Linked DNA regions of Elephas maximus indicus. The protein of the gene in region 2 interacts with the protein of the main gene of each other region in a pairwise test. Links are inferred from orthologs where the notes say so. Each region holds a gene or a part of one and is shown on either strand. Other genes may lie near its edges.

Region 1 (15,011 bases), on a different chromosome or scaffold from region 2:
TTCGATGTTCTGGCCAGCAAAGAGCACGGTCACCTAAGGGTCAGGGGTCAAAGGTTAGCTTCCAGGTGAGAGCCTCTGAGAGGTGGGGGAGGGCAGAGCAGGGCCAAGGAGGGTGAGGGGCAGGTGGTTGGTACCCTGGGGGAGAAGAGGGTTGTATGAGCTGAGAGGGGGTCCATTCAGCCTGAGCCAAGGGTGTGAACGAACAGGAGGGCAGATGAGGGCCTATGGGGATACCTTGTGCAATCCAGCAACCTTGGGCACATAGGAGACAGCATAGGTTCGGTCCTTGTCGTTGTTGGGGACCACCTTGGCCTGATGGGAAGAAGAAGATTGTAAGTCATGGCGGCTGTAGCCTTTCCTGAACTCACAGCCCCACGCAGCCCCTATGGTGAGGCCTCCCCCAGGCGGGTGGCTTTAGCCAGCACCTTCAGGCCATCCTCTTTTTGGCCCTGTGTCCTCCGGTTCCAGCCCCATGCTAACCCCTCCTGCCCCAGCGGTCCCCCGCACCTCCTCGGTGTGGCCCTCGGGATCCTCAATGTAGACCAGCACCTCGCCCACGCCGGCGTCCACAGTCTGCACGGTGAAGTGGGCAGGCTGCAGCACAGTGTTGCCTTGGGGCTCAATGCCTGGGGGCAGAGGCAGAGCCAGGTTACTGAGGGGGCACACACAGGTGCAGAGGTGCCCAGGGAGGGCTGCCGGGCTGAGCACCTACCAGGCCCATAGGCGATGGCCTTCTTGGGGTTCAGCTGTTTGGAGCGGACAGGGGCACCTGGCTTGAGCTTGGCCTTGGGGAACTGGGACAGGTAGGTCATGACGGAATGCTCATCCACATTGGGGTCTACAATCTCCTCAGGGGCAATCACCTGCCACGGGGAGGAAAGGAGTTACACAGCCCACTGTGCCCGGCAGCCCCAGTCCTCACCTGCCTCCTGGCCAGGTGTCCTTGTAGACCCAACTTCCATCTTTAGGCCCCCTGCCAGTGGCCCCATCCCGTCTGCGAGTGTACCTGGGGCACGCCGAGCCAGTCGTCCGCCTGCTGCATGGCCTCCCGGGCATTCTCCACAGGTTGGTTGGGGTCCCAGGCTTCCCAGTCAGGACAGAGACCTAGAGAGATGGGGAGGACGATGAGGGGAAACCAGTCACCCAGAACAGACGCATTCGTTCACCCTACACCCTCATGGACTGTGGGTGTGCACCCCTCCCCAGCCAGCTCGAGGCCCCTGAACCAGCCAGGTACCTGCTGACCACCAAGGCTGTGGCCCATCAGCTGGGGTGCCCATCTCTGCTCAGAGGCCCAGCAGCCTTCCCTAGCACCAACAATGAGGCCTTTCTGCCCTGGCTGACGCAGCCTGGCACTAGCCCTAACAGCCAGCCTCCTGCCTGCTCAGGCTGCAGCACAGACCCTGAACACCAAGCCCCTGAGAGGGCTCCCCTCCCAGACCCCTCTTGCCTCATTGCAGCTGCTCCAGGGGTGAAGGGGTCACAGTCTGTCCCATGTATGTCCCTAGGTCTCCTCACAGCTGTTCTGAAGTCCTAGATCTCTAAGCATACATCCCACACCTGCCTGAGGGCATAAGACTCCCTCTCCCTGCTAACTGGCCACCTGGGGAAACTGAGGCTTTGAAGGATGAATTCTCCAAAGCTGCCCAGAGCCCAGCCCTCCTAATGTTAAAAACGCTGAGGGAGCCCCAGATCGCTCCTGTGAAAGGGGGCCGGGGTACTTGGTCCTGGCCAGGACTGGAGGTGGGGGCACTCTCACATGGCGGGGAGGGGGCTGGCTCAAAGGCTGGAATCCATGACTGGCCAGAACAGCTGAGCTCACTGCTGGCAGCTACACCAGCTATGGGCAATGGCTCAGCAGTTGGGAATGCTTCCCAGGCGGCTGGTGCCCCTGCCTCCCACCCCCTGCTCCCCGGCTGACCCCAGGGCGGGGAAGGATTCTCCCAAGGGGCCATGGCTCCCCAGGTTCAGGGCTAACCAACCCAGAGTGGAAAAAGCCCCATCTTCTCACGAGACGAGGGTCAGAAAGGAAATGGTGCACGGGGTGGGGCTCTAGCCTGTGCTGCCTCAGTTTCCTTGTGGCCCTGATCAGCCCCCACCCGACCAGGCCAGGACCTACATTGAGGGGGCAGGGCTGGGTCACCTGCCACTTGGCAGCGCCATGCCAGCCTCAGTCCACATCATCCCGGGCCTCAGCCTCTTCTCAAAGCTGTCCCAGGGTCTCACAAAGGAGCACTCGGCAGTGCCCAGGTGTCAAAGTAGAGAGCACGTGGAGCAGGGTGTCCTGGCCGGGGGATCGAGGTTCAGTTCTGCCAGACAAGCCAAGAGACCCTGGACAAGTCACTGGCTCTCTCTGGCCCTCAACATCCTTGTCTGTAAAATGAGGGGCTCTAAGCCCTTCCTACCCCTGTAGAATCTGGCACACCCAGCAGTGGAGGCCTGACTCCAGCATGAATCTCAGCTGGAGGAGAGGGAGCCCCACAGGGGTGCATTCTGACAACTGTGAGCCTTGGTAGGATTGGCTCATCCTAGCTCTCCTTCCAGCTGAGGGCTCCTCAAGATACCCGCTGGCCCACTCACCAGGGGCACAGTTGTCCACCAGGGCGCCGAGAGCTTTGCCATCCTGCCAGTCTCGGTTGAAGTTGGTGATGGGCAGCTGGGGCACCTTGTTCTGGATCCAGCCGAGCAGGCGCTGCTTGGGCGTCTGCTTGCGGGCGTCCTCGTCGTCCTCATCCTCCCACATGGGCATGGAGATGGAGTAGTGCAGGATTAGGGTCCAGATCAGGCCCAAGATCAGCTTCAAGTTCCCATCCACGATGGCCTTGCTGTCTGCAGAGCACAGAGAACCAGCTGGGCTCAGGAAGCCCACCCTCCGACCCAGGGTACCTTCTGCACCTGCCCAGCTATGGGGAGGGTGCTCCCAAGGCAGCTGCTACAGCGCTGGGCTCAGGCCTCCTATTTCTGGAACCTACCGCCTCCCTCTCAGCCTACTAGGTGCAAAGTGGAGATGCCAAGTCCTTCAGGGGCCTCCTCCCTTCAGAATGAGGCTGCTGCCCTGTGTACTCCTGCACAGATACTCTTGCCTGTTAGAGCACTCCAGTCTGCCTCCTATCGGCTATAGCCATCCCTACAATTATCCAGGATCTGTCTGGCCCTACTGGTTTATAAGCCTTCTGGGGGCAGACACTAGTTTTTTTGTTTAATGGTTTTATCAAGGTATACTTGACATATTATAAACTGCACATGTTAAAGAGTATAATTTGATAAGCTCTGACATGAAGCCAGAAAGCCATCACCCACATCAAGATAACAAACATATCCGTCACTTCCAAAAGTTTTCTTGTGTGGACCCCTTGGTAATCCCTCCCTCCTGCCCCTCCTTGCCTTTCCCTTCCTGGGTAATCACTGATCTGCTTTGTCACTATAGATTAGCTCGAAATTCCTAGAGTTTTATACAAATGGGTGGTGCGAATGGTTAATGTGCTCGCTGCAAGCCAAAAGGTTGGTGCTTTGAGTCTACCCAGAGATTCCTTGGAAGAAAGGCCTGGCGATCTGCTTCCGAAAAATCAGCCATTGAAAACCCCATGAAGCACAGTTCTACCCAGATACAGGAGTTCAGTTAACTTGAGGGCAACTGGCTTGGTCTTTTACAGAAGTGGTATCACTGCTTTTTGTGTGTCCTCTTTCACTCCAGACCCTGGGTTTTATCTTTCTATACTCAGGGTCTAGGACTTGATGGGGCCTCAATAAATTTTGATTGAATGAATGAATATTTTAAAACATGAAGTTGCAGAGGAACAAGACCAACCTGGTTTCCACCTTGATTGCCATAAAAGGCTTTTGGAACAATGGGGTCCTGGGAGGAGAGAGGGTGTCCAGCTGGCAAGCTCAGTTTGCAAATGCTGGGGGGAAATGGGATTTCACAAGAGCCTGGGACTTGTCACCGATGTAGACTGGAGTCTCAGAAGCTGAGACACGCTCCACTATCAACTCCTTTGAGGAATACTATGGATCAGACCTGACTCCCCCAGATTGTTCAGGCCTAGCTCCCCTTCAACAGCCAAAGCGAAACATCCAGGAGGCAGTGGCCTAGGTGGCCTAGAGTATAGATCTTTGGAATCCTCATCTGTAAAGGACAATGCAGACCTGAAAGCCATCAGCTCCAAGCTGAGCTGCTATTAAGAGGTTCAAAGGGGGCGGAAAACTCAGCCTTGTTTACTGGCGTTGCCGAGAGATGGGAGAGTGTGGGGCTGAAGGCTCCCTGTTATACATCTTTTCCTGCCCCCCATTCCTAGATCTGGGGAAGGGTGGAAGAAGACCCAGGGCCAGGGAACTCCAGCATCCCCTACCCCACCCCACCCCACTTGCCCCAGGAGGGAACCTTGGTCTTCCAGTCCCTCCGGCGGCAGGCTGGCCCCTAGGTTCCCCACCCTCTCACTGATTCATCCTTCCTTCCCCAGCAGCTCCCCAGCCCACCCCCTTTCCCCTGGCTCCACTGCAGCACAATGGTTTGGCAGCTTTCACATTCCATGACATACTCGCTCCCGGCCTCCCAAAGCTCTGCTCTCTCGATGGCACAAACACACCCACAGTGCATTCACACAGTCTTGACACCCCAGTGCCCCTCGACCTCTTGCAGCCCTGACAGTCTCCAAAGCCAGCACTCACCACCCAGCAGGGCTTCCTGCAGCGGGCTGGGGCCAGACCCCCTAAAGGGAGGGAGGGAGACCTTGAGACTGCTGGGGGCTGGGAGGGGATGTGTGGGGTGATCATTCATACTTGCTGGAGAGCGAGGTTTCTCCCCAGCAACTGGCCCAGGGCCAGACAGCAAGTGGTCCATGGCTTGGGGCGGGGGAGGGACTGCGGCCGGGGCCGAGTCCCACTCTGGAAGCTGTGACCTTCCTCTCCCTCCTTCCCCTTGGAGGCCTGGGGAGGGGAGCTCAGCTCTAGCCAGGCTTCCTCCCTCATAACTCCCCCAAGCCCTCTTCTCGCCTGCCTAGGGATACCCCCAAAGGAGCGGGAGGAGCCAGAAGCCAGTCCCTGAGCCGCCCCTGCCCCCAGGCCTCAAGTGGAGGGGGAGGAGGAGAGAGGGCTGGGCCGAGGGAGGTGCTGGGACAGCTGCTGCCCCCTCCAGCCCCTCCTTCGGCTGTTGGCTCAAGGAGAAGGAATAGCAACTGGGGAACAGCTGCGGGACAGAGTTGCCTCATAGGCCTCTTTGTTCCGAGGGGCTGAGGGGGCAGTAGGGGACCTGGGCGGGGTAAGGGGGCACAAAGGGCCAGAGCTCCCCCAACTCAGGCTAAGCACCTCTCCTCGGGTAGCTGTCTCCACTCCCAGCTCCCCCTTGGCCCCAGCTTCTCTTCTCCAAGAAGGGCCCCCCACTCAGGTGCCCAGATGCTCACCTTCAGTCTGAGACCATGCCTGGGGCAGAGGCCCCCAGAACAGCCCCTTCCCCCCAAACATGAGAAGAGGGGAACCAGGGGAAGCAGACTTCCCATGGGTTGTTCCCTCACACCTCGGGCTACCACCCCTGTAGCAGGCCCCTCCCTGCCAGCCTTAGCCCCAGCAGCTGAATTGCTGACAGCTTATCTCATCAGCTCGAGGGAGCCACTTGGCCTACTAAATGGGGACCAGCTCCCCTTCCTCTCAACTGGACGGAGGAGCTTCCCTCCTGCCCCTAGACCAGCCTTCACTTCTCCCCCTTCAGCTCAGAGCCAAGGGGCCAGGGGCCAGGCACCGCTCTGGGGGAGGGAGAGGTGCAGTCCGGAAGGATGAGGCCTGGAGAGGGACCAGTGGGGAGGGAGGTGGAGAGGCTTCCTAGCCTGTCTGTCCCGGGAGACCCCACCTGGGATAGTCAGTCCTGCCTCTCAAATTTCAGCATGCAGGGGTGACAGGGGCTGGCCAGGCTCTGACTCTCCCTCCACACTCGGTCATGTAGTCTGCAGCCCCCCACACCCCCTCACTACACACCAGAGCCCCCTCCCCCATGCCTGCCCTCAGGCTTGTCCTTCTGGAAAGCTCAGAGACATCTGCTGTGTCACGGAGGCAGGGCTATTTCCAGGCTGGAGCAGGCGGTGGGGTGAGGGCTGGGGGGGGGGGGCCAGTATTTGGGCAGGAGGGGTAAGGCCAAGGGAGGGGACTGGACAGGGCAAAGGGCCCCAAACTGACCTCAGCTGCTAATTCAGGAGGACCAGAGATGGCCCTGAGGGACAGTGGGGGTGGACAGACAGTCCATTATCTGGGGGTGTCTCTGAGGCAGTCGTGGGGGGTTCTAGGCTACCTGGCCGGCCCATTGGGAAGCCCACATGGAGCCCCATATGGGGCCCCTTCATGTAATTCACAGCAGAACTCTTAAGAGTTTACCCCGGGAGTGAGGGTCTTTCCCGGGACCCTGGCCTACTCAAATGACTGTAGGGCTGGGAGGACAGGGGGCGCTACTTGCCACTCAAAACCCACCCTAGACTTCTCTGCTGCCAAGCTTAGAGTACCTCCCCACCCCCATCCCGTCCCAACACACCTTCCAAATCTGGTTACACTCAAGGACTCCCTCCTTTTACAGGCCTCCCCTCCCTCCCCGGGCCAGACCGTTAGCTGCAGCCAATCCCCAGCTTCGGGATGGGCTGGGGCCGGCCAAGGCTGGAGCCGGCTCCCTGGGCCAGGGCAGGAGGAGGCCAGGCAGGGGTTAAAGCTCCCGGCGCTGTTCAGTGCTCAGTGCCTTTTTAGGTGTTTGAGGCAGGGCCCTGCCTGCCCTGGCCCCGGGCCTGAGACCTGAGCTGAGCACAAGCCCGAAGTGGGCCTGGACGACATCCTGCCGCCCACCAGCTCCCCCTCGCCTCAGAGCCCGTGGATCTGGGCACTGATGGGGACCCGTCTGCAGTCCCCGCCTTCCCGTGGAGGTGCTGGGAGGCCACCTGCTTTGTTTGCCGGGGAAGGGGGGGGGGTCCCAGTCGCCCAAAGGAAGGAAAGGGATAATGAATAGAGGCAGGTCGGTGGGAGTGTATGGTGCTGGAGGGCTGGGAACGCCGCGGGTGCCCAGGGTCCTGAGAGTCCTGAACGCAGCGGCCTGAGCGGGAGGGTGAGGGAGACGGGGCAGAGGCATTTCCCTGCCAGCCGCCCTGCCCCAGGTCTCTGCTCCCCGCGCCCACCAGCTCCTGTGCCCCCTGCCCGGGGGACAGCTCCGCGCCACACACACACCTCCCCGCCGTGTCCCCCCGCCGTGCCCTCGCCGCCCGCACTGACCGATGGACACGAGCTTGATGTGCTCGCGCTCCAGGAACTCGAGGGCCACGGACACGTTCTCCAGCTTCATCTGGCGGAAGTTGGGGCGCGGGTGGAACTTGCGGTACATGCGCTTCTGGCTGAGCACCTCGAGCAGCGCGATGAGCCGCAGCCCGTCGCTGAGGTCGCGCTGCAGGTCGGTGAGGCGCTTGCCCACGCACTTGAGATGCTCGTTGCACCAGCGCGTGAACGTGTTCTGCTGGATCTTCTTCCACGGCGCGTCCTCCGCCAGGTCCTTCTCGGTGGACGGCATCTCGTCCGCCTCGTCGGCCAGGCCGAGGCCCGCGGGCTCCGAGTAGCCGCTGTTGTTCATCATGCTGGCGGCCGGGCGGGCAGGGGCTGCGGCCGGTTCGGGTGGGTCGGGCCGGGTTCGGGTGGGCCGGCGGGCTGGGGGCGCGACCGCGGGCTGGGCTGCGCGCTCTGCAACTTCTCTGGGCGGGCGGCTCGCGGGCCTCCTCGCTCGGGTCTCTCTCTCCCTCCGAGGGCGGAGCGGTGCTCGGGAAGTGCGGCGGGCCGGGCCCGGGGGTTTAAGAAGCCCGCGGCCCCCGAGCCACGTCAGAGCGCCGGCCTCCCAGGAATGCCGCCCGGCCGCGGGGGGCGGCCCCGCCTCCTCCCCTCCCCCACGGCGTCTCCCCGTCCCCTCCCCGCCCGGGGCTGCGGGCCAGGGGCCGAGAGCGCCGGCAAGGCTGCACCCCGACACCCCAAACTAAGCACCGTCCGAAATGAACTATGCTCCCGTCACACCCCGCCAGGGCTAAAGAGAGAAATGGGGAAACTGAGGCCAGTGGTTAAGGTGACACACGTAGAGAATTTTGACAGTTTTCTGGACGGGTTGGAGGCAGGGCCGTTGACAGGCGCTGGGAGGCCTGGCTCCTAGCCCAGGGTATTGTCCACCTGTGGGCTGAGAAGGGAAGTGTGTGTGCTTGTGTGGAGATGGACTGAGAGGAAGCTGGGACAGGCCAATTAGAAGACTTGGGGGGCCGGGTACCTGACCTCACTGCTCCACTTTACAGGTGGAAAGGCCTCATTTGGGGCCCAAACCCAGGGTCTCAGGGGAAGACTGAGGCTGCTGCCCCTGACTCAGTGAGCCTGTCACCAGCCCATTTAGCCTCATCCTCTCAGAATGAAGCTGAGCTCAGGAAAAAGGTACCAAGTGAGTCACAATGTGCCCCCCCCATCTGACTCAACCAGTGTGAGGAGAGGGGAGGGACAGACTGTGCCCCCTTAGTGCCAGGGAGCCCCCTGGGCAATGTGCCCACTTTGGCCACTGGGCAGATCCTCCCAGAGAGGGGGTGGGTTAGCCAGACACAAACAAGGAGAGCCCTGCCCAGAGCAGCCTAGAGGGAACAGTGACTAGGGCTGGTCGGCCCAGAGAACCCCAGGGAGCCAACCAGGGTGAGCCAAGGGCAGATAGAGGCCTGGGGAGTGGCGATGGCAGGGAAACTGAGGCACATGAACAGACGAGCTGGCCTGGAATGAGAAGAAAGAGCTATAGAACATATTTACATGAAGAAAAGTTATATCCTGCAATTCTGTAGCATACATGTATTCCGTGTCTCCTGGCCTCCCTTTTAGGTCATCTTTCCTATCCTTCCAGACCCAGTAAGTTTTGAGTGGCGTATCAATGAGAGGATGTGCAAGAAGTAGGCAAACTCTCACATCGCCAATAGCAAGCTGAGCTGGGTAGTAGGCCATGTCTGAGCTGGAGCAGTTTCTTCAAGCCAGGTAGCTCCCAATTCAAGGCATGTGATGACAATGGAGAGGATTTTGGAAGGTTCTGGGACCTCATAGGTGAATCTTTCTACCCTTTTCCTCTCCTCCCCCAGGCCTAGCAAAAAGGAAGGGGACTGTGGGCATCTTTGGGGTCTCTATCCCCAAGGGCAGAATGAGGTCAGTCCGGCTTATGGAGCTGAGAAAGAAGTTCAAGGGCTTTACGGGGGACAGTATGTATGATTGAAAGTGTCCGTGAGTGATTTCTTGTCCTCCTCATTTAATGAGATTGCCTCCTCATTTAATGAAAGGGAGAAGTAGAGAAGGGACCAGAAACAGAAAAGGGCCCTGCTGTACATGGCTGGGGGGTGGGGAGCTCTGGGGGCCCTGATAGTGACAGGAGAGGTATAAATAGCTTGGGCCTTGTGGCTCATGTTCTGTCGGCTGCCTGTGACGAGGTACTCAGGAATTCCACTCTCCTGCTGGCTAACCCTCTCCGCGTCTCCAGAACTCTCATTTCCCCCAAGCCACCTTCGTCCCATGGCCAAAACCACCCATCAGGCACCGGTGTTCCACATCTACTTGACAAGCTAAGCTCTCCTGTGGAGAGATGCCCAGCTCCTCAGGGGGCAGAGCTGGGTTTCTCCAGAGAACTGTGTGCATGTGTAAAAGGGGGGACTTCTGACATCCAAACCTGAGGAGCCAGGAGCTCTGAAGGCCTCATGGAGAAACTGAGGTACAGATCTGAGAAAGGCTAGATTCCTCTCTCTGAGCTGTTGGGGAGGAAGAAAGGGGTAAGAAGGGGCTGCCTGAAGCTGACAGCTCCTTTTCAAGCCCTAAGGGCTCATATTCCTGTTGTTTGAATATTCCCTGAGGTCCCCTGTCAACTGGGGGCCTCCGTGGAGATGAGGAAAGTTCAGAGAGAAGCAAGTGAGTAGAGAGAGAATTCCCACATATAATCTCCCATTACTCTCCCCGCTCTGACTCATTATCTTACTCCAGGAGAGACCAGTGTGCCTTCCCAGGGGACTGAGTGGATGGTGGCAGAGGAGGATACAGAGTGCCAAGGGATTGTTCCTGTCACCCACTCTCACTCCACTCCCCCGAAACCTGAGCCTCATTGCTCTCCAGGATAAATCGGGGCCTGACTCAGTCCTTAGCCAGCCAGTCACAGTCAGCCTGACCCAGGCACAGGCTGGTGACTCAGACCTCAATATAGCCCGTGAGCCCAGGCCCCAGGCCCAGCCATGTGGGCCTGAACAGACAGTGCACAATGCTAGTTCTGGGGCCTGCCAAGTGAGGCCACCTCCCTGAGGAGGACCAACGGTGTTGTTCCTCCCCCAGCCAGCAGGGGCACTCAGAGGGACTTACAGGGGGTTTCGTCAGCTAAGAATTTGGGGCTGCGCTGGCTGCCACAGTCCTTTTATAACACCCTGACTCACTACCTGCTGACCTGCCTCAGGAGACCAGGTTGCCCAGGCTTTTCACCTGTCCTGCCTCTCCTATCAAGGGGCATTGCTCGTCAGCCACAACATTGGCCATATTTAACTTGGGCTGAGTAGAATCTGAGTAAGCGGCTCCAATGTGCCATGTTGGAAAATTCTGCTTTTTTGGAACCAGGGGCTGTCCAAGCTCACAGCCAGCACTTTGACCAATCAATGACACTGACTGTGGCCCTGGGCCTGGTACCAGGGACAGTGTGGCAGAGTAGAAGGATCCACAGGCTGAATTCCAGCCTCTCCACTTCTGGCTCTGTAGCCTGGGGCAGGTAGTGTAATGTGTCTGGGACTCAGTTTTCTCATCTATAAAATGGAGTTAATAATGTTCTTATAGGGATTTCTTTTTTTTTTTTAATGTGTGAAGATAAAAGGAGATACCATGTAAAATGATTAGCACAGTGCCTGGCATATAGTAAGTGCTCCAAAACAGTCATTTGCTTCCCCTGCTGGTATCTTGGGGACCAAGTGGGTCCTGGTGAATTCTTCCCTTACAGCTCTGTCTCTACAGCCCCTGTAGAGACCACTGTCGGAATCCCCACACTGCTCACCTCTTCCCTTCCCTAGTGAATCTGTGTACTAACCCTCCACCTGCCAGAGTCAGAGCCAGCAGCACAACTGATCTCTAGAACCGTGCACTGGCCTCAGGAACAGCTGGTCCTTGGCAGGAGTGGCAGGCAGGGTGCTCTTCCATGTGCAATTGAAGGGGGGAGGGGAGCCAGGGAAACAGAGGGGGCTGGTCTTGAGGGAGAGAGAAGAAAGGAAGCATTATGCAGGGACAGCAGAGGTGAGAAACTGGGGCTCCTGAAGGGGTCTGGAGTCCTTGGTTCCAACTGTACCTGTAGGCCTGGCTACATGCCTGCCTGTGGCTTCTAAGAGGCACCCCTGTCGACTTAAAATCAATCCCGCCCCTTTTTTCTTAAACCGGCTCAAGGGAATGTTCCACATTCAACACAATGTGTATCAACAAGACCAGAAGGCATGAAGTTCAAGCCAAGTGAAGAGTATGAGGTTCTAACATGAGCAGAGAGGGGCTTATGCTCACATAAAGGCAAGTGTTCCAAAAAGAAGAGGTCTATTCTAAGGAAAAATATGTAGGGAAAGGCAGGGCCACATTCCTGCCGACACTCTGTGTTATGGATTGGATTGTGTCCCCCTAAACTATGTTTTGGAATCTTAACTCAGATACCTATGGATACAATTCCTTTTGGGAATAGGGTTTTCTTTGTTATGTTAATGAGGCCATATCAGAGTAGAATGTGTCTTAAACCTAATGACTTTTGAGATATAAAAAGAGCAGATTAGACACAGAGAGAAGCTAGCACAAACAGGGGAAAGATAGATGCCACCTGGAGATGGCCAAGGAACCAAAGAGCACTGGGGCTAGAGAAGCTGAGACAAGGATTTTCCTCCAAAGTGGACAGAGAGAGGCCCTTACCCTAGAGCTGGTGCCCTGATTTTGGACTTGTAGCTTCCTAACCCATGAGGAAATAAATTTTTGTCCTTTTAAACCACCCACTTGTGGTATTTCTGTTACAGCAGCACTGGACAACTAAAACAGAATTTGGTATTGGTAAGTGGGAGTACTGCTTCAACAAATACCTAAAATGTGGAAATGGTTTTGCAATTGGGTAATGGACAGAATCTGGAGAAATTCGGAGCCTCATAGGAAGAGCCTAGACTGCCTTGACGAGACTGTTGGTAGAATTATGGACACTACGGGTAATTCTGATGAGGGCTCAGAAGAAATGAGGAATCCTCTAGAGAAAGCTTCAATCACTATGAACAAAATGTTGCTAGAAATGTGGATGTTAAATGTACTTCTGGTGAAACCTTAAAAGGAAATGATGAACAGGTTATTGGACAATGGAGGAAGGATGGTGCTTTTCTTTTTTTAGGGTGATGCTTTTATAAGGTGGCAAGGAACTTGACTGAATTATGTTCAGTGGAAGGTAGAACTTGTAAGTAATGAACTTGGATATTTGGCTGAGGAGATTTCTAAGCAAGATCTTAAAGGGGCAGCCTGGTTTCTCTTTGCCGCTTAAAGTAAAATGTGGGAGGAAAGAGATGAACTTAAAAATGAACTGTACAAAATGAAACCAGAACTTAAAAAAATAAAGTTCTGGAAAATTCTGTTGTACAGACTAAGGACACGTGTCCTGGAACTTTCATCAAGGGTCTGGCTAAACAGTCTTTTGTTAAAGAGATTAAGCCTGCAGCTGATGGGTCTAATAAACCACCGCAGCAGAAATCTTGTCCGATTAGACTAGAAGGGACAGATAGTACAACGTGAAGGAAAGCTGCAATCCTGGAATCCTACAGGCAGAAAATGGGCCAGTGAAGCCGCTTGGCTGCGAACATCTGTTGTCCTCCAAGAAAAGGAAGGCATCATCCTAGGAACAATTCAGAGATCAGCAGGACTGTTGAGGAACTATGGCGGGCAGGGCTGCCTCTGTTTCAAAGGGTGGAAAAACCGCCTCCTAGGTTTCAAAGTCTCATAGGCTCATAGTGACCCTATAGGACAGAGTAGAACTGCCTCATAGAGTTTCCAAGGAGTGCCTGGAATCAAGAGGTGGAACTGCTGACCTCTTGGTTAGCAGCCATAGCACTTAACCACTACGCCACCAGGATCGCCATGAGTCGGGATCAACTCGTTGGCAATGGGTTTGGTTTAGGTTTCAAAGAGTTAGATCTCCACCATCTCGATTCTGGAGCGTGGTGCTGCCATTCAGGTGGACCAAGAGGATGGGGCCTTTGCCCAGAGTTGAGGGTGAGGGGCTGCAATGTCCAAGGGCCAGGAGAACAGAGCCACCCAGGGCCAAGGGGTTGGGGTCACCACGCAGGTGGATCAGGAAAATGAGGTTACCCAAAGTCGAGGGAGCTGGGTTGCCATCCCAGTGGGCCTGGAAGGAGAGACTGAAGCCTAGGGCCAAGGGGCCTCCACCCAGAATCCAGAGAGGGAGGCCAACATCCAGAGTCTGAGGGTGGGGCTGTTCCCCAGATGGTCCTGGAGAACAGAGGATTATTTTCAAGCCTTGAAAGCTAATGAAATTTGCTCTGCCAGGTTTTGGACTTGTTTGGTTCTTTGACACTTCCTTCCCTCCAATTTCTCCCATTTGGGTTGGAAATGTCTACCTTGTACCTAATTCCGCCATTGTACTTTGGGAGCAGATAACTTGTATTCGAGGCCCACTGATGGAAAGGAATTTTGCCCAAGGATGGAACAGGCCCAGAGTCTCACCTATACGTACTTGATTTAGATTTAGATGATTTACGAGGTAAGATTTGGGACTTAGAGTTGTGCTAGAATGGAATAAGACTTTTGTGATGATCTTGTAGTGAATGAGTTTTGCATGTGGGAAAGGCATGAATTTTGGGGGGCCAAAGAGTGGAATGTTACGGATTGAATTGTGTGACCCCAAGATGTGTTGTAAATCCTAACCCATATACCTGTGGATGTAACCCCATTTGGGAATAGGGTTTTCTTGGTTATATTAATGAGGCCATATCAGTGTAGGAATAGATGTCACATAGAGATTGCCAAGGAACTGAAGAACTCTGGGGCTGGAGAAGCTGAAACAGGGGTTTTCCCTCAGAGCGAAGAAAGAGAGCCCCTAGAGCCAGTGTCCTGAATTTGGGCTTCTAGCCTCCTAAACCATGAGAAAATAAATTTCTTTAAAACCACTCACTTGTGGTATTTCTGTTACAGCAACACTAGATAACTAAGAAACTCAGCCTCTAGGTTTGGTCCTGGGAAGGGGCCATCTGCCTACCAGATCCTGACCTCCATCTTGGCTTCTAATTCCAAGTTTAAATCTGATTCTCAGCTACAGATGATCATCCAGTCCTTTTCACTGGGTGTGTTTTCCAGCCAACTGGCGGCTAAAATGGGTAAACGGTAGCATCTTACTACACTCAACACGTGGCCACGGGTACCAGGTGGGTTGTGAAGGAAGTTCTTTAATTAGTTTACCACTGAGAACACAGAATCTAATGTCATTGACTCAAACAATGCTTCTCAAACTTTATTGTGTATGCTAATCACCTGGGGACCTTGCCAAAATGCAGATTCTGTTTCAGTAGGTCTGAGTAGGGTCTGAGATTCTGCCTTTCTAACAAGCTCTCAGGTGATGCTGAGGCTGCTGGTCCATGGACCACACTTTGAGTAGCCAGGGACTAAAACCCAGTGCCAGACCACCCTAAATAGGGTCTTTAAAGAGCAGTCATTTTGAGGGGGAGCAGAAGGGACAGGTAGCCCTGCCCTCAGTTTTCCTATTGCAGCCATGTTTATAGGGTGAGGACTCTGGAGCTGGTTACAATTTCAGCGCTGGCCCCAGGCCTTCCAGGATGGACTCCAATTCAGCCTATCACTCCTCCAAGCAGCACACAATTTTAAAATCTCCTAATTCTAAATGTCCTTGCTACGCCCCCCTGGAAAGGGCTGGAGAAGTAATGAATTCATGCAGTCCTTGGCAGTGCCCACTACAGTACACACTCTGGAAGCACATGCTGCTTCAGTTATCTGGTTGA
Region 2 (15,074 bases):
TGGTCCTCACCTCATTCCTATGGTGGGGCCTGTTCCCCACCCAGTGGCAGAAGATCTTACCACCACGTACGCCCAGAAGGCCAAGCAAGCCAGTGAGTGCCTGAACCCCTTCTTCCCAACCAGGATCCTTCAAACTGGGCCCTAAATTTACCCCCCACCCCCCATAACTCTACATTCTGCCTCACTCTTCTCTTGGAGATAGTCTTGGGACAAGTAGAGAAGAGTGATGACTGGGAGAGGAAAATAACTTTTCTCCTGGTCCCTATTATTTTGGCTGTTTGAACCAGTGTGGCAAAAAGGCACAGATAGTTCAACCTAACCCAGGAACAGGGTAGGTAAAGAAGTTGGAAAGAAGGCATGAGTAGATGTAAGGTTTGATTTTTGCTCTTGTTATTATTATTTTGCTATGTGTCAGGATAGGGGTGAAGGTAGTCTGTGGACACGGGGCTGGGGAATGTTTGGAAGCAGAACAGGGCTACAGGAGCAGGGCAGGGCTACTGGGGCACTTGAGTGTTATTTTCAGGTATGGCATCAGAGCTACTTTTGACATTTGTAAGTTCAGTTAGGATTCCTGGGGACTGTGAGACTAGGGGATGATCAGGTGATCCCTAGGAAGTGGTAGAGGGGAGGACTCTTTAGCTCCTTATCTCAGGCAAGAATGTAGGCCTGGGCAGAAAAAGCCAGTTCCACTTATCTCAGGCTCTTTGCTATTTTTGATGTGAGCTACAGAACAAGGTCTAAGAGTGAACTTTCTCCCTGCACCATGCCCCTCATACCCCTCCCACAGAGACTTTTCGCTCACTTCAGAAACCTCAGGATTGCCCCTCTACTTCTTATCTCTCTTCCCTCCCCTCCTCTCCTCCATTCTGATTCCCGAGCCATAGGATTTTGTGTTTCTAAGTCTGGAATAAAGGCTAACAACACCATGGTTTAGAGTCTGACATCTCTGAAAATGTCCAAGACTCCACAAAGAAATTCCAGATGTAAGCCCAGGATCCCATGCTTATCCACAATTCTCCTTTTAGCACAGCCCCCCTTCCCATCATGCTGGGTGAGGGTGTAGTTAGTGGCTCAGGAATATTTTTAGCCAAGCAGACCTCATTGTCAAATGGGGTGGGGTAGGGGGAAGGGTAGGCAGGTGCCAATGTCCATCACACCAGGGCTTGTGGGGCAGCCGAGAGAAGGGAGGGGGCCAGGCTCCAAAAATAGCACAGTGAGCTCATTCAGCTGCCAGCTCTGGGGACCAGACAAAGGGGCTTTAAAAGGCGTGGGGGGTGCCTCAAGCTGGTCCTGCTCCAGCCAACACTGCCTTTCCCGGCATGGAGACCTTTGAGCCCCTCAGCCAAGAGCCTCTCAGCCAAGCCAGCTGTGACAAAGCCCCAGGCCCAGATCCTGAGCTCCAGGACCCATTCTATGCAGGTACTACCTTCCCATAGCCAGGGCTGTTCTGGGATTCAGAGTGGGGGAAATGTATCAGCAGTTTAGGAAGGGAGGTCTTTGGGAAAGGTCTTATTCCCTTGACCCTCCTCCTTTTTGCCTTCTCTTTCTCCTATTTTCAGGAGTTTCGCTGCTCCTTTCTAGAAAAGGCTGATGCATGGCCACTTGTTGAAGTGACTTGTGATCACATGGGTGATAGACAACTCATGGGGAGAGTGTGTACATGAGAGAGAGAGGTGTGAGCACAATATGAGTACATGAAGGCATGTGTGTGCGAGTCTGTGGGAGTAGAGAAGATGTGTGTGAACAAGAAAGTGTCCATAAACTTGTGTAGCTAGTGTCAAGAGGATAGTAATGGCTGGTCATAGTAGGCCTTAGCACCGTGTTGAGTGCTAAACTTACCTACATTATCTCACTTACACCTCATAGCAACTCTGTGAGGTAGCCATTATCATCCTCATTTACAGATGAGGAAACTGCTCTTCAGCAAGGTGAAGTAAACCCCACTGCCGTCGAGTCGATTCCGACTCATAGCGACCCTATAGGACAGAGTAGAACTGCCCCACAGAGTTTCCAAGGAGCACCTGGCAGGTTCGAACTGCTGACCTTTTGGTTAGCAGCCATAGCACTTAACCACTACACCACCAGGGTTTCCAAGGTGAAATAACACCCCCAATATTTCAGAACCAAAAATCTTGGAGAGCCTGGATTTGAACTGAACCCTGATTCCAGAGCCTGTATTTCCATTCACAGCACTATTCTGTTATAAACGTTACAATAAGAGGCGTGAGAGCCCTAATTAGAAAGGAGCTTGGTTGGTATCTTGAGTGGGAAGTAGATGGAATTTAAAGAATTTTTCAGGAACTGAGGACTATGGACCAGAGAGTACTGATGTCCAAAGCAGGGTTCCAGCAGCAGGGCAGCCACTCCCATTTCCTGGCCCCACCTTCCAAGGCCCCACATGGTATGGAAAGCCCTGCCCTGGCTCCCTTTAGCACACACTCCCTGCGTGCCTGCCTGGGAGTCACTGCCCACACTCACTACCTAGAGGGGTTGAAAAAGAGTGGATAGCTCTGACCTTCAAAGAAACCCACCCACTCCAGCTTGGGAGAAAGGAGAGTATATTTAGCTGGCAACCTTGAGGTGTCCTATTATTTGGAGGGTTAGTTTGGAGAGCAACCCTCTGGCTTTTCCTGCATCTTGGATCTGAGACTACCCCTGGCTGTGAGTAGGAGGGGCGTGAGGCACAGAGAGATGTTCTGGTGGTTGGAAAGGAAAATCAGCTCCGAAGTTTTGTCCTGTTAGGAACAGTCTCTTCAGAGGGAACTCTGGGAAGAAGGGCCACCAGGAATGTGTCTGTGTTGGAGTGTTTGAGTAAGCCTGTGTTCTTGTGGGCACGTGTGAATTTACATATCTGTATGGTTTTGGGTATGTGAACATGAACATGTGAGCTAGGGTAAATGTGAATGACAGGAAGTACACATGAGTAAATGTACCCATCCTGGCTTTCACTAGGCCAATATTCTTGCTGGAATGATGTGTGATGGTCATTTCTATGAATGTTTGTATATAATGTGTGCTGCATGATGGAGGTGGCAACGTGAATGAAAATCCTCATTGCTAAGGATCCTTTGTGGCCTTATCCTAGGGGTAGGGGGTGGGAAGAGGGGCTGTTTCCAAGGGGTTCAAACTTTGTGAGAAGTCTCCTAACATGGCCTCTGTCTCTATGGTGGGAGAAACATGTCCCTTCTCATCTCTGACCTGTCCTGTCTCCCTTCTTACTATGAGGAGTGACATCTCCCCTCCATTGCCAGCTAGGAATGGAGGGAGGCAGAGGAGGAATGTGTGTGGCCGGGGTAAGAGCATATCTCTGAGAAGACAGGAATGGAGGAGAGGGAAGAGAGGATAGGAGGAGGGCTGTGGTCAATGCAGTGTTGGGACAGTCAGCTGGACTCTGCCTTCTCTTCAGCTGTCCTTAATTTCACCTTTCACCCTGCACTCTGCCCCCAAGTCAGAGAACTTTGCCACAGACAGGAGACATTGTAGGTTGGCCGGTGAAAAGACGGGGAGCCTGACGGAGCTGGGAAACAGGACTAGAAGAGGTTGGGGAAGCCCGCTGACTATTTTCTCTCCTGGCCTCCTCAGAACTGCAACGTGCAGAGAGCCTCCAGGAGAAGAGCGTGAAGGAGGCCAAGACCAAATGCCGGACAATTGCATCCCTGCTAACCGCCGCCCCCAACCCCCACTCCAAGGGAGTGCTTATGTTTAAGAAACGGCGGCAGAGAGCCAAGAAGTATACGCTAGTGAGTTTTGGAGCTGCAGCTGGGACAGGAGCTGAAGGGGAGGAGGACGGTGTACCCCCGACCAGTGAGTCTGAGCTGGACGAAGAGGCCTTCTCCGACGCCCGCAGCCTCACCAATCAGTCTGACTGGGACAGCCCCTATCTGGACATGGAGCGGGCCAGGCCAGGTTCAGGTGCAGCAGAGGGCCAGGGCCCCGGGCTTGGAGGGCAGCTGACTGAGGCCTCCGGGAGAGGGGTCCAGCTCTTTGAACAGCAGCGCCAGCGCGCAGCCTCCATCACCCAGGAGCTGGCCCAGGATGGCCCACCAGCCATGCTCAACGGGAAGGGCCTGCAGTCACCCCCTCGGGCCCAGAGTGCGCCCCCGGAGGCGGCTGTGCTCCCACCTAGCCCTTTGCCGGCCCTTGGGGCCAGCCCCAGACCCTTTCTTCCTGGTGGTGGAGCCCCTTCCCCATCTCCTGGTATCTTTAACCGGTCAGCCAGGCCATTTACCCCAGGTTTACAAGGGCAGCGGCCAGGTACCACCTCAGTTATTTTCCGGCCCCTAGCCCCCAAGAGGGCGAATGAAAACCTGGGAGGCCTCAGCCCCGCCCCACCCCCCTTCCTGTCCTCTCCACCGGGGCCCACTCCTTTGCCCAGCTTCACCCCAGGGGTTCCCAGTTACGTGCCAGCCTCCGGTTCTCCCAGCACTCCGCGCTCCTCGGGCCCCGTGACGGCCACCAGCTCCCTGTACATCCCAGCTCCCAGTCGGCCTGTTACTCCAGGCGGAGCCCCAGAGCCCCCCACTTCCACTAGTGCAGCCGCCATGACCTCCACGGCTTCTATCTTCCTATCGGCACCTCTGCGGCCAGCTGCACGCCCAGAGGCGCCAGTCCCGGGCCCAGCTGCCCCTGAGGCCCCCAGCGCACGGGAGCAGCGCATCTCGGTGCCAGCCGCCCGCACCGGCATCCTGCAGGAGGCCCGGCGCCGGGGGACTCGGAAGCAGATGTTCCGACCGGGAAAGGAGGAGACGAAGAACTCGCCCAACCCCGAGCTACTGTCGCTGGTGCAGAACCTGGATGAAAAACCCCGGGCCGGGGGTGCGGAATCTGGTCCCGAGGAGGACCTTCTGAGCCTCGGGGCTGAAGCCTGCAACTTCATGCAGCCACCAGGGGGCAGGAGTTACAAGACCCCGCCTCCCGCGACACCTAAAACCCCGCCTCCGATGGCTCCCAAGACTCCACCCCCTAGGACTGCTAAGACTCCACCCCCGATAGCTCCTAAACCCCAATCTCGAGGGCTCCTTGATGGGCTGATGAATGGGGGAGTCCCTTTGTCTGGAACCCCTGAGCCACCAAGGCTACAGGGCAGGGGTGGGGAGCTGTTTGCCAAGCGGCAGAGCCGTGCAGACAGGTATGTTGTGGAAGCTACACCTGGTGCTGGCCTTGGCCCTGGCCCAGGGCCCAGAAGCCCTTCTCCTACTCCTTCACTGCCCCCATCCTGGAAATATTCCCCCAATATCCGTGCTCCACCTCCTATTGCTTACAACCCACTGCTCTCACCCTTTTTCCCTCAGGCTGCCCGAACTCTCCCGACTAAGGCTCAGTCCCAGGGACCTCGGGCAACCCCCAAGCAGGGCATCAAAGGTATTGATTTCATGAGGCACCAGCCCTACCAACTTAAAACCTCCATGTTCTGTTTTGATGAGGTTCCCCCGACTCCAGGCCCCACCGCTTCAGGGCCCCCTAAAACTGCCCGAGTCCAGGAGATCCGCAGATTTTCCACTCCGGCGCCCCAGCCCACTGCAGAGCCCCTGGCCGCCACAGTGCTTGCCCCACGAGCAGCCACTACACTGGATGAGCCTATCTGGAGGGCAGAGCTGGCCTCAGCCCCTGCCCCTATCCCAACCCCGACTCCAGAGTCTCCCAGGGGCCTTGGAGCCTCCCCCAGCTCCTGTGGCTTCCAGGTAGCCAGGCCCAAGTTCTCGGCCACCAGAACAGGATTGCAGGCTCAGGTGTGGAGGCCTGGGGCAGGACACCAGTGAGCAGAGCACAGCTCCCAGGACCAAGGAGAGGTGGGACATCCTGTTCCTAAAGTTGCTACTCCTGTACCATCACACCTCCCCTCTCAGGCGTCTGGAGGCTAAGGGTCCCTCCTGCCACAGATAGTTTTGGAGTTAGTGTCCCATCCCCCAGCTTCCTGCTCACTCTCTTTGTCTCTGTATTTCCTTGCTGGGATCTCTCTCTGTCTTTATCTCCAGGTCTGTCCTCCCACACTCTTGCACTGCATCTATGTTTCTCTACATTTGTGCTTTTCTCCGTGGGCCTGGTTTTAATGGGAAACACTGGTGGCATAGTGGTTAAGAGCTAAGGCTGCTAACCAAAAGGTCGGCAGTTTGAATCTACTAGAAGCTCCTTGGAAGCTCTATGGGGCAGTTCTACTCTGTCCTATAGGGTTGTTTTAACATTCAGTGAGAAGTACAAGGGACGTTACCACTGGAACCTCAGGCAAGATGCTCACCACCAGACAGACAGCAAAGGGACTGAACTGATGCCTGTTTGCAATCAGTCCCTCCCTATTCCTCGCTCTTCTTTCCCAAGCTTGGCTGGCATATACCTAGGAATGTGTGTGTGCGTGTGTGTATGTGCAAATGTGCGTGTGCACAGATGAGCTCTTCTAAGGCAAGAGTAAGAGGGGAGGTCTAAATAAAGGTCCCACCTGGGTCTTACCCTTGCACTGATGAGCGAAGGGTCAGATATTATTCCCACATGGAATGTCCAGTCTGGAGAGAGATTCACTGGAGAATAACTCCTCAGAGACCAGCATCTGCAGCAGGTGTACAGCATCTAGTGAAACTTATGGGGTATGAGGATATTGAAGGGCCGGGACACCTTGCATGGGCTGTTATAGCAGATAGACCAAGAATAGGACTAAGAATTCTATTCCTCAGGATTTCAGAAAATTTGCAACCTGAGAAGCCCACGCTGAAAAACCTAGCATCCAGGAAGTGATAAAACATGAAATTTCCTCTGAGAATGAGCAAATCCTTGGCTTCTGAGCCTAAGACAGAAAGGAGGGAGAAAGGAGCCAGGGTGTGGAAAGTGAGGCAGAAACCAGGAGCAGAACAGAAACAAGTGGAATGGATTGAGCCATAGACGGGAGCAGGGTGCAGAGCACGGGAGAGCGCCATGTGGGCAGAGAATGCAGTTGAGTAACAAGAAACCAACGGCATGCAGGGAAGGGATTGGGGAAAACTTGAGGGAGAAGAATGTATTTGTCAGCATAGTGAAGGGGAATGATGGTCGGAGGCGGTGAGGCTGCGTGCAGAGTGCTGAAAGAACAGCTGGAGTCTGTGCTACCTTCGAGTCTGTCCCTTAGTCTGTCTTCTGCAGCTTGTCATGACGACCTGGGAAAGGACAGAGAAAGACCCAGAGTCAACCCCTCCTTTTATTCCCAGCCTGTCCTTCAGAGCCCTAGCTCTTGTTCCTTTCCAGCTTCAGGCCCTGGTCTCTGATCCTGGAGGGGTATGGACTCCCCTCTCACCTTGGCCATCACTAGCCACGTTTGCTGCTTGATCTGGAAATTGATCGTTGCCTTTGCTTATTAGGTGTGAGTCACGGTACTTTGTTTTGTGCACAATAAACTCATGCCCCATACCTTCTGTTGCTGTCGTCTCTTCTACTTTTATACCCAAATCCTGATCTTGATATTCTCTGACCCATCCCCCTAATCTGATTCCTGCACTCCCTCTCCCATTCCTGCTATCCCATTTTTCACCCTTCATCCCCAATTTCCATTTAGCCACCTCCACCACTCCCCTTGGTTTCTTCTCCCCACATTCTCCATCCAGGTTCTCCCCATTTCCAGTCCCTGCTCCACACTTCCCAGGCATGGCCTCCGCGTACAAAACTGAGAAGTTGGAAAGGCCCTCTGAGCCTTTTGCCATTAACATTTCCTAGCTCCCCAGGGGAAGCAAGCATGCTAAACAGTCTCTGGGAATTAAATGGCTGGGGGTGAAAATGGGATGGGTGAGGGAAGAAGGAGAGAAAGGTGGGTCAGTGTGGATTTAGACTAGTTAAATCGCCAGAGGCAGGCTGCAATAAAAGCCTTCTGAGACGGAAAGTGCCACTGTTCCAATTGTACCGGCAGGGGGCATGCTGATGCCTATAACCAGACCCAGAACACTGATACTCTCAAGTACATAAAGACCAAAAACCAAACCCATTGCCATGGAGTCAATTCCAACTCACAGCGACTCTACAGGACAGAGTACTCAAGTACACATTAAAAAAAAAAAAAAAAAAAAAAAATTTTTTTTTTTTTTTTATAGCCTCTGAGAATTCCAAGGGAAGAGTCTAGGGAGAGCATTAGGCTGCATCTTCTGTCTTCACTTACCTCAGTAGTTTTAGGTACTCAGGCGTAGATAAACAATCAAAATTTTGGTTTTTGTTTTTTGAGGGGAGGGTGGTGAGGATGATGAAATCACCTTTTGCTATTTATGTTTTTTTTTTCTTCTAATTGCTTCCTTGGGTTGGGACGGACTAGAGGGCAGAAGGCGAAAGATCCGGAGGCACAACTGGTCTGGGACAGGACCAATGAGAAGGGGAGGAGGACTTCTCAGCCCCTAGCCTGAACCTGAAGAGTACAGAATGGGAGAAGGGATTGGACAGACAGAGTGGAGAGCTCATAGAGGGACGGAGGTGTCTGGGAACTTCAAAAGCCACTTCCTTAGCCACCTGCAACAGGGTGGGGTGGCTACAGCAGCAGCTGGTTCCAGAACCTGAGCAAAAGGTGGAGGAGGAGCCAGGATGTTCACGCAGCTACTAAGGAAGGGAATGGGAAATGTCATCCTTCCCCCAAATGGGCTCTCAAGCTTATGCCCCTGCCCAGACTCTCCTTTTGAACAGTATAATGGGACAGCCCGGAGCCTATGGGCTATGTGCACCCTTTGAAGGAAGTCCCAGAGGGTAAGGCCCTGGGTGCTTCTCTGGGGTATATCAACATCTGTCCTGTAGGGTGGGCTGAACAGAGCTCCCCCAAATGGGCAGATCCAAGTGTTCACTTGTTCTTAGAACTGCCAGAGTTTAAGGGGAAAGAAAATGGAGTGATGTGGACGGAAGGATTGGCCAAGCCTTCCCCACATCATCCCTGACTGCCTACAAGCATTGGGTTTGGTTAAATTGATCCCTTATCCTGCCAAGATCTGGCCCTCAGCAGAGAAAGACCAACCCCTCCAGGAACTTTAAAAGAGCGGATTCTATTGCGAACAGATGTTCGTCCCCTTCCCAAACATAGCACCTTAAGCCCTCCTACCCCCAAATACACCCACAGGTCCCTCCAGCTCCTGCCTAAATTGGCTCTGGGTGGCCCTCAGGACACGTTCTCCAGGATCTCTCTCTCCCTCTCTGAATTCCTATCCACTACTTGCTGCCTCCTTCCTCTCCTTCCGTCTTCAGTTTCTCCCTGAATGCTTTCCTAGATCTGTCTCCAAATGCCAAGGGAAGGGGAGCTCCCCCTAGGCAGGCTGATCCCTGGCTCAGACAGCTCACTGGGAGAATCCCAAAGGCCTTTTCTCCCCTTCAGGAGCCTCTGGGCAAGGAGGGCGGGATCTTGGTTCCAGGGTCTCAGTACCCCCGGTGCCATTTGAGCTGCTTACACTCATCGTCTCTATTAATAACCACCCTCCCTCCCCCACTGTCAGTGCTGCCCCCACGCCTGTCCATCTCGGGTTCTCGGTCATAGCAGCTCAGTCCTCCAAAGCTGCTGGACCCCAGGGAGAGCTGACCACTGCCTGAGCAACTGGTAAGTCCACCTCTATGGCCAGAGGGGCTGGAGTCCACTCTGCTTACTTCTGTGTGTGTCTGCAGTTGTTAGTTTTCATCCTACGTGAGTGCCCCCCATCTATGCTCAGCTCTCAGCTGTCCAATTCAGGGGTGCCACAGAGAGTTGAAAAGAGATAGATCCAGGAGGTTGGAGGGAACAGAAATATTGGGAGAGGCACTGGAGGAATAGGGGGTCCAAGAGGCTGATGGAAAAAAGAATCTGGGAGGGGCTGAGAGAGGTGCAGGGAGAGTCCATTTAGTGTTTCCTGGACTCTGGCCTCAGTAGACCCCACCAAGCTGGTAGAGTTGCAGACGTATTTGTGAGGCAGGACTCAGCAGAAGAGGGGATTTTGCTAAGGGCCGGCTTCTGTTAAGGAGAAGCTGGAGTCTGTATCTATTCCCAGTTTGTTCCCCTCCACTGCTAGATCCTGTTACTATGTTCCTGTCCTCTGCAATGATATTGCTGAATTGACAGGCTCAGGGTGCAAATGTTCCCTGTCTCCCCACAACTCCAGTTCTGGGATCTGGGGTGGGGGTGGCTGAAGGGGAGCACAGCCGTGACCTTCCAGGCCCTGTTCCAGCTGGCCCAGTGGTGGACCAACAATCTCTCCTTCCTATGGAGAATGTTTTTGGCTGAATCCCCGTAACCCTGGCAGAACACTTCTCTGCCCCCCTGGGGCTTGGGGAAGATTGAGAAGAGGCCAGAGCCTGGAATCACAGCCCCAATTTGAGATCCCAACACAAATAAACATTTCAAATCATGCCAATCCAATGAGACCTGGGTGCGTTGTCTTGCCTGGGTTGCCTTTTTTTTTTATTCCCACCCCCACCCCCTGTGCTGTGTCCCTAATCCCTGCACCAGCCCTATAAAAAATAGCTCAACAGAAGTTGGTGGGAGGTAGGCAGGGGGTACATCTATATCTCCTGCCCTGCCTCCCAAGAAGGCAGAAGCTCTAAAGCAGTGGGTTTTAACCTTTTGGGGGAATCCATATTTCTTCGAGAATCTGATGAAATTTTGCCCGCTGAAGCTATTAACCACAGGTTAAGAAGTACTGCCCTGGAGTGGAAGAAGGGCTCTTTTGTAAACACTCACCCTTCCCTGTCTCTGTCATCCTTCCAACTTCCCCTTCCTGCCCTATTCAGGCTGAACCTCCCTCCACAATGCCACTGTCAGGAACCCCGGCCCCCAACAAGAAGAGGAAATCCAGCAAGCTGATAATGGAACTCTCTGGAGGTAGGGCAAGGATGCATCTACCTAGCGTGGGGACTTCTTATTAAGAGCATCCCTGAACCAAGAGTCCCAGAAATATCATAATTTTATATATGTCTTAGCCTGAAGGGATAAAAGAAATTCCAGTCCGGGACAGGGGGAAGAAAGGAAGAGGGAAAAAAGGCTGGACACTGACTACTTATCCTTCCACCCTTTTCACCTTGTAACCTGAGACAATGCTCTGCCATATTACCTAGCACAGGTCCAGGACCACTGGGCGACAGGTCAGTGGGGTGTATGTCTGAAGGTGAAAACACATATGACAGAGACTGACACAAAGAAAGAGCTCAATAAATGGGTGATTTCTCCCAGAAAAATTAATTAATTTCCTTACTTCTTTCCCCAGAAGTAGGGCTGTGGGGAAACCACATGGGTATTTCTCTTAGGGTTAGGCAGGTGTGCATGGTGTAAAGCACTCTCCCAATACCCAGAGGCTGTTGGGAGCCAGAGTTCACTGAGGGGAAGGACAGGGAAAGGAGTTAAGATAGGAGTCTGTACTTAGAGGTGGCCACCTCCACATGGGATTGACCTTTGGGCTTTCTCCCATGCCATGGTTGCCTCAGTGCTTCCACCTATAATGTTCCTTTACTCCTTCTGCCCTGTACCCCATGCCCCTCTTACTCCATCTACCTCTTTACTCAAGAATCCTTACTACCTCCATTCTGCATCCCAGGTCCCATGCTTTCACTCCAACTCCAAATCCAGGAAATCAGAAGTCAGACAATCTAGACAGAGTTTGATCAGACATCACAGACAGCACCTGTCCCCTAAGTGATCTCTGCCAGGACACACAAACTTAGTTGTGGACAGGGCCTACGACCTGAGCCCAGAAAACTCTACTTCCCTCTTCCCTTGCCTCTTCCTCCTTACCTCCCTGAAAGGTGGGCAGGAAAGCTCAGGCCTGAACCTGGGCAAGAAGATCAGTGTCCCCAGGGATGTGATGTTGGAGGAGCTGTCACTGCTCACTAACCGGGGCTCCAAGATGTTCAAACTGCGGCAGATGCGAGTGGAGAAATTTATCTATGAGAATCACCCTGATGTCTTCTCTGACAGCTCGATTGTGAGTTCTGAACCTTACTGCTGTCTCACAGCCTGGGGTAGGGCCTGAATCTCCAAAATACCACCAAACTCACCCCTCTGAAAATTCATAAACTCATTAAACCCCCAGATATACTGAATCCCCAACAGCTCCAGTGAGTTACAGCTCATCACTGAAACTCAAAAGTCTCTATCTTAGAGCTGGTGGAAGTGGGTTGGAGGTGGGAGAGAGGTACCATACCCTCAGGGAGAAAATTCCTTCCCAGTTTAGGTTAGTGGTAAAGATAGGGTTACCCATAAAATATAGAATGCTTAATTTTATATTTCAGATACATAACAGGTAACTTTTTTAATGTATGTTCCATGCAATATTTGGGACATAAAAATAAAATAAAAATGTAAGCCCAGTTAAACTTGAGTTTCATATGCATGCAAATAATTTTTAGGATAAATATGTTGTTGTTATCGGGTTCCAACTCATGGCAATCCCATGGGTACAGAGTAGAACTGCTCCACAGGGTTTTCAAGGCTGTGACCTTTCAGAGACAGATCGCCAGGCCTGTCTTCTGGCACCTCTGGGTGGGTTTGAACTGCCAACCTTTTGGCTAGTAGTTGAGTGTTTAACCATTTGCACTGCCCAGGGACTCCTAGTTTAAGTATGTCCCATGCAATATTTGGGACATATTTATACTAAAAAAATATTCATTGCATATCTGAAATTAAAATTTAGCTGGGTATCCTGTAGTTTTATTTGCCAAATCTGGTAACTCTAGAGTTTAGTTTTCATGGCCATCTCCTTCTTGAGCCATTCTTTTGTTTAAAGGGTCAGCCTTTTAATGTGACCCATTATGTGTCCCTCTTTCCTCAGGACCCCAGATGTGGGGACTGAAACTGTCCTTCTTCCAGATTCTACATCCCCTACTCAGGCTTCTTCTCCAAGGGAAAAGTAGGAGTTGGAGAATGACCAGGCACAGGATGTTAAAACTGAGAGAAGGAAGGAATCCTCTCTATTTCCTTTCCTCCTCCTCCACCTTCCTTGGGGGGTAGGAGGGAGAGTGGATATAGATGCCTACATGGGACCAGGGGCAAGAATGTTCGTCATTGACTCTTATTTACGTAGGAACAGTATAAAAATGCTGAGCCAGTCACATCTAACTTTAGGAGGCCAAAAGCCTTCTTCCCTCTCTGGGTCTGGTTACACGGGGTGGAGCATGGGGGTGTGCCTGGTGGGGTGCCCAGGAGAGCCTCCTGAAGGAGCTGGCTGGGTTATTTTTAGGCTTCATGGCAGAATCCAGTGTTGCCCTTTTGGGCGCCCTTCCCCCCATCCCAGCTACAATTTCATTGTCAGGAAGTCAGTCCTGGTTCAACAGGTATCAAGAGGAAGAGAGAGAGAGGGAGAAGAAAGTTCTGTGTTTTGGACAAGCTGAGAAGGGGAGGGGCAGAGCTCTCTATAGTTCTTCAAATTAAGGGTAGGTTCTCCATTGCCAGCCCCATCCTCTCAAATTTACCTGAGCAGGCAGAAGTCTTGGTCCTCTTTACCTTGGTAAAGATGGGAAAGGGGAGTGTGGAGAATGAGTTGCTTCCATCCTAATGAGTAACTGGAGGAATTAAGCCAAGGGGGTCCCACCTTTCAAGGAGAGTTTAGATGCTCTCAGCCAGGCTATTCACCTTCCATTCGTAGGAAGGGGGAATCTAGAGGGTTCAGTGTCTTCCAGTTGGCCATTGTCTCATCACTTCCTCCCTGTCTGTTCACATCTCTCTCTCTGTAGATTCCCCGTGTTCATCACTGTCTGTCTCCTAACTTTGTTCTCTCTTTTCAGGATCACTTTCAGAAGTTCCTTCCTACAGTGGGGGGTCAGCTGGGCACAGCTGGTCAGGAATTCTCCTACGGCAAGGGCAGTGGTGGAGGCCAGGCAGGGGGCAGCAGCTCTGCCAGACAGTATGGCTCTGACCAGCAGCACCATCGAGGCCCTGGGTCTGCATCTGGGTCTGGAACTGGGGGCACAGGTGGCCCTGGGGGCACAGGTGGCCCTGGGGGCCAGGCCAGCAGAGGAGGAGGTAGCTCAGCAGGAGGTGGCTCAGTGGGAGTTGGCGAGTCGGGAACAGGTAAGTACCCTCACCCAAGAGTAATGTTTCTGGGCCCCAAAGCAGGGATATGAGGCCTAGACTGGGTGTGGGGAGCAGGGGAGGCCAACTGAGATATCTGGGTAGATTCTCTGGGTTTGGAAATACACAGAGTTGTGTCTATTCCACCCAGAAGCCTTGTCTTTCAGTCACTTTTTCGGTTTTTCAGATCCAGTCACATATTTGACCCCAAGCTATCATTATGCTACAAACCTTAAACAATTACCAGAATATTGTACCTTTGGTCCCTTGTCCCAACCCCTAGTGAAGCGGTATAGGATTAACTTTCATTGGCTACTAACTGCTATTATTTGACCTACCTTTCTCTCCCATGGCTTCCAGGAGACCAGGCAGGTGGAGAAGGAAAACATATTACTGTGTTCAAGACCTATATTTCTCCATGGGAGCGAGCCATGGGGGTTGACGCCCAGCAGAAAGTAGAACTTGGTATTGACCTGCTGGCCTATGGGGCCAAAGCTGAACTCCCCAAATATAAGTCCTTCAACAGGTAGGAGTGGTGGGGAAGGAAGCAGATGCATTCTAGTGTGTGGGATGGAGACTTTGGTTCAAATGTTTCAGGAGGATGAAGAGGGATGAAAGGAATATGGGGGCCCTAAATGAAGGCCTTTGCTCTCACTCTAGCTCAGAGAAACAGATCAGTATGCAGAAGGAAAACAGTACTGAGAGGAAGGATCTGAATTCTAGTTCATAAGCTACTTATTAGCTATGTGGACATGGGAAAGTCACTCTCCTTCTGACCCTTGGTTGCCTCAACCATAAAATGGGAATAATGTATTACCTGTTTGAAAGCCTCCTTTGAGGATCCCTTCCATTCAAGGTCTAGGATTCCATAACTGTCCTGTGATATGATTCTGTTTCCTTATACCCTACTTTAGTAAGGCTCTAAGTACCTGTTCTCTATCTCCATAGATCATGGAGATCTGTATGAAAGCAGGATACTGAAGTATTAGAGAAGTGCTTTTGCACTGGGTCCTCTCACCCAGGCCATCCACTATCCCCTGGGGGTAGCATGGAGAGTTGGTAAAGTCTCTACATTAAAATTTAAGGTGGCCTCAAACCATTAGGTCTATAGTATATGGGGTTA

The links.
Region 1: the proteins of MYOZ1 (region 2) and FLNC interact in a two-hybrid assay, tested with the Homo sapiens proteins (2 studies listed by BioGRID and IntAct). The link is inferred for Elephas maximus indicus from reciprocal best matches to the Homo sapiens genes MYOZ1 and FLNC.

The regions. Positions count from the first base shown.
Region 1 is NC_064826.1:21,233,297-21,248,307, forward strand, and holds the start of FLNC (filamin-C), read right to left. Parts: upstream 7,786-15,011; 5' UTR 7,592-7,785; coding exon 7,237-7,591; intron 2,830-7,236; coding exon 2,581-2,829; intron 1,105-2,580; coding exon 1,007-1,104; intron 864-1,006; coding exon 713-863; intron 627-712; coding exon 508-626; intron 313-507; coding exon 235-312; intron 34-234; coding exon 1-33.
Region 2 is NC_064834.1:13,855,654-13,870,727, forward strand, and holds the start of MYOZ1 (myozenin-1), read left to right. Parts: upstream 1-9,429; 5' UTR 9,430-9,517; intron 9,518-10,680; 5' UTR 10,681-10,698; coding exon 10,699-10,771; intron 10,772-11,688; coding exon 11,689-11,867; intron 11,868-13,665; coding exon 13,666-13,951; intron 13,952-14,311; coding exon 14,312-14,477; intron 14,478-15,074. Other genes in the region: SYNPO2L (synaptopodin 2-like protein), read left to right, coding at 1-92, 3,583-5,759. UniProt on the Homo sapiens protein: Myozenins may serve as intracellular binding proteins involved in linking Z-disk proteins such as alpha-actinin, gamma-filamin, TCAP/telethonin, LDB3/ZASP and localizing calcineurin signaling to the sarcomere.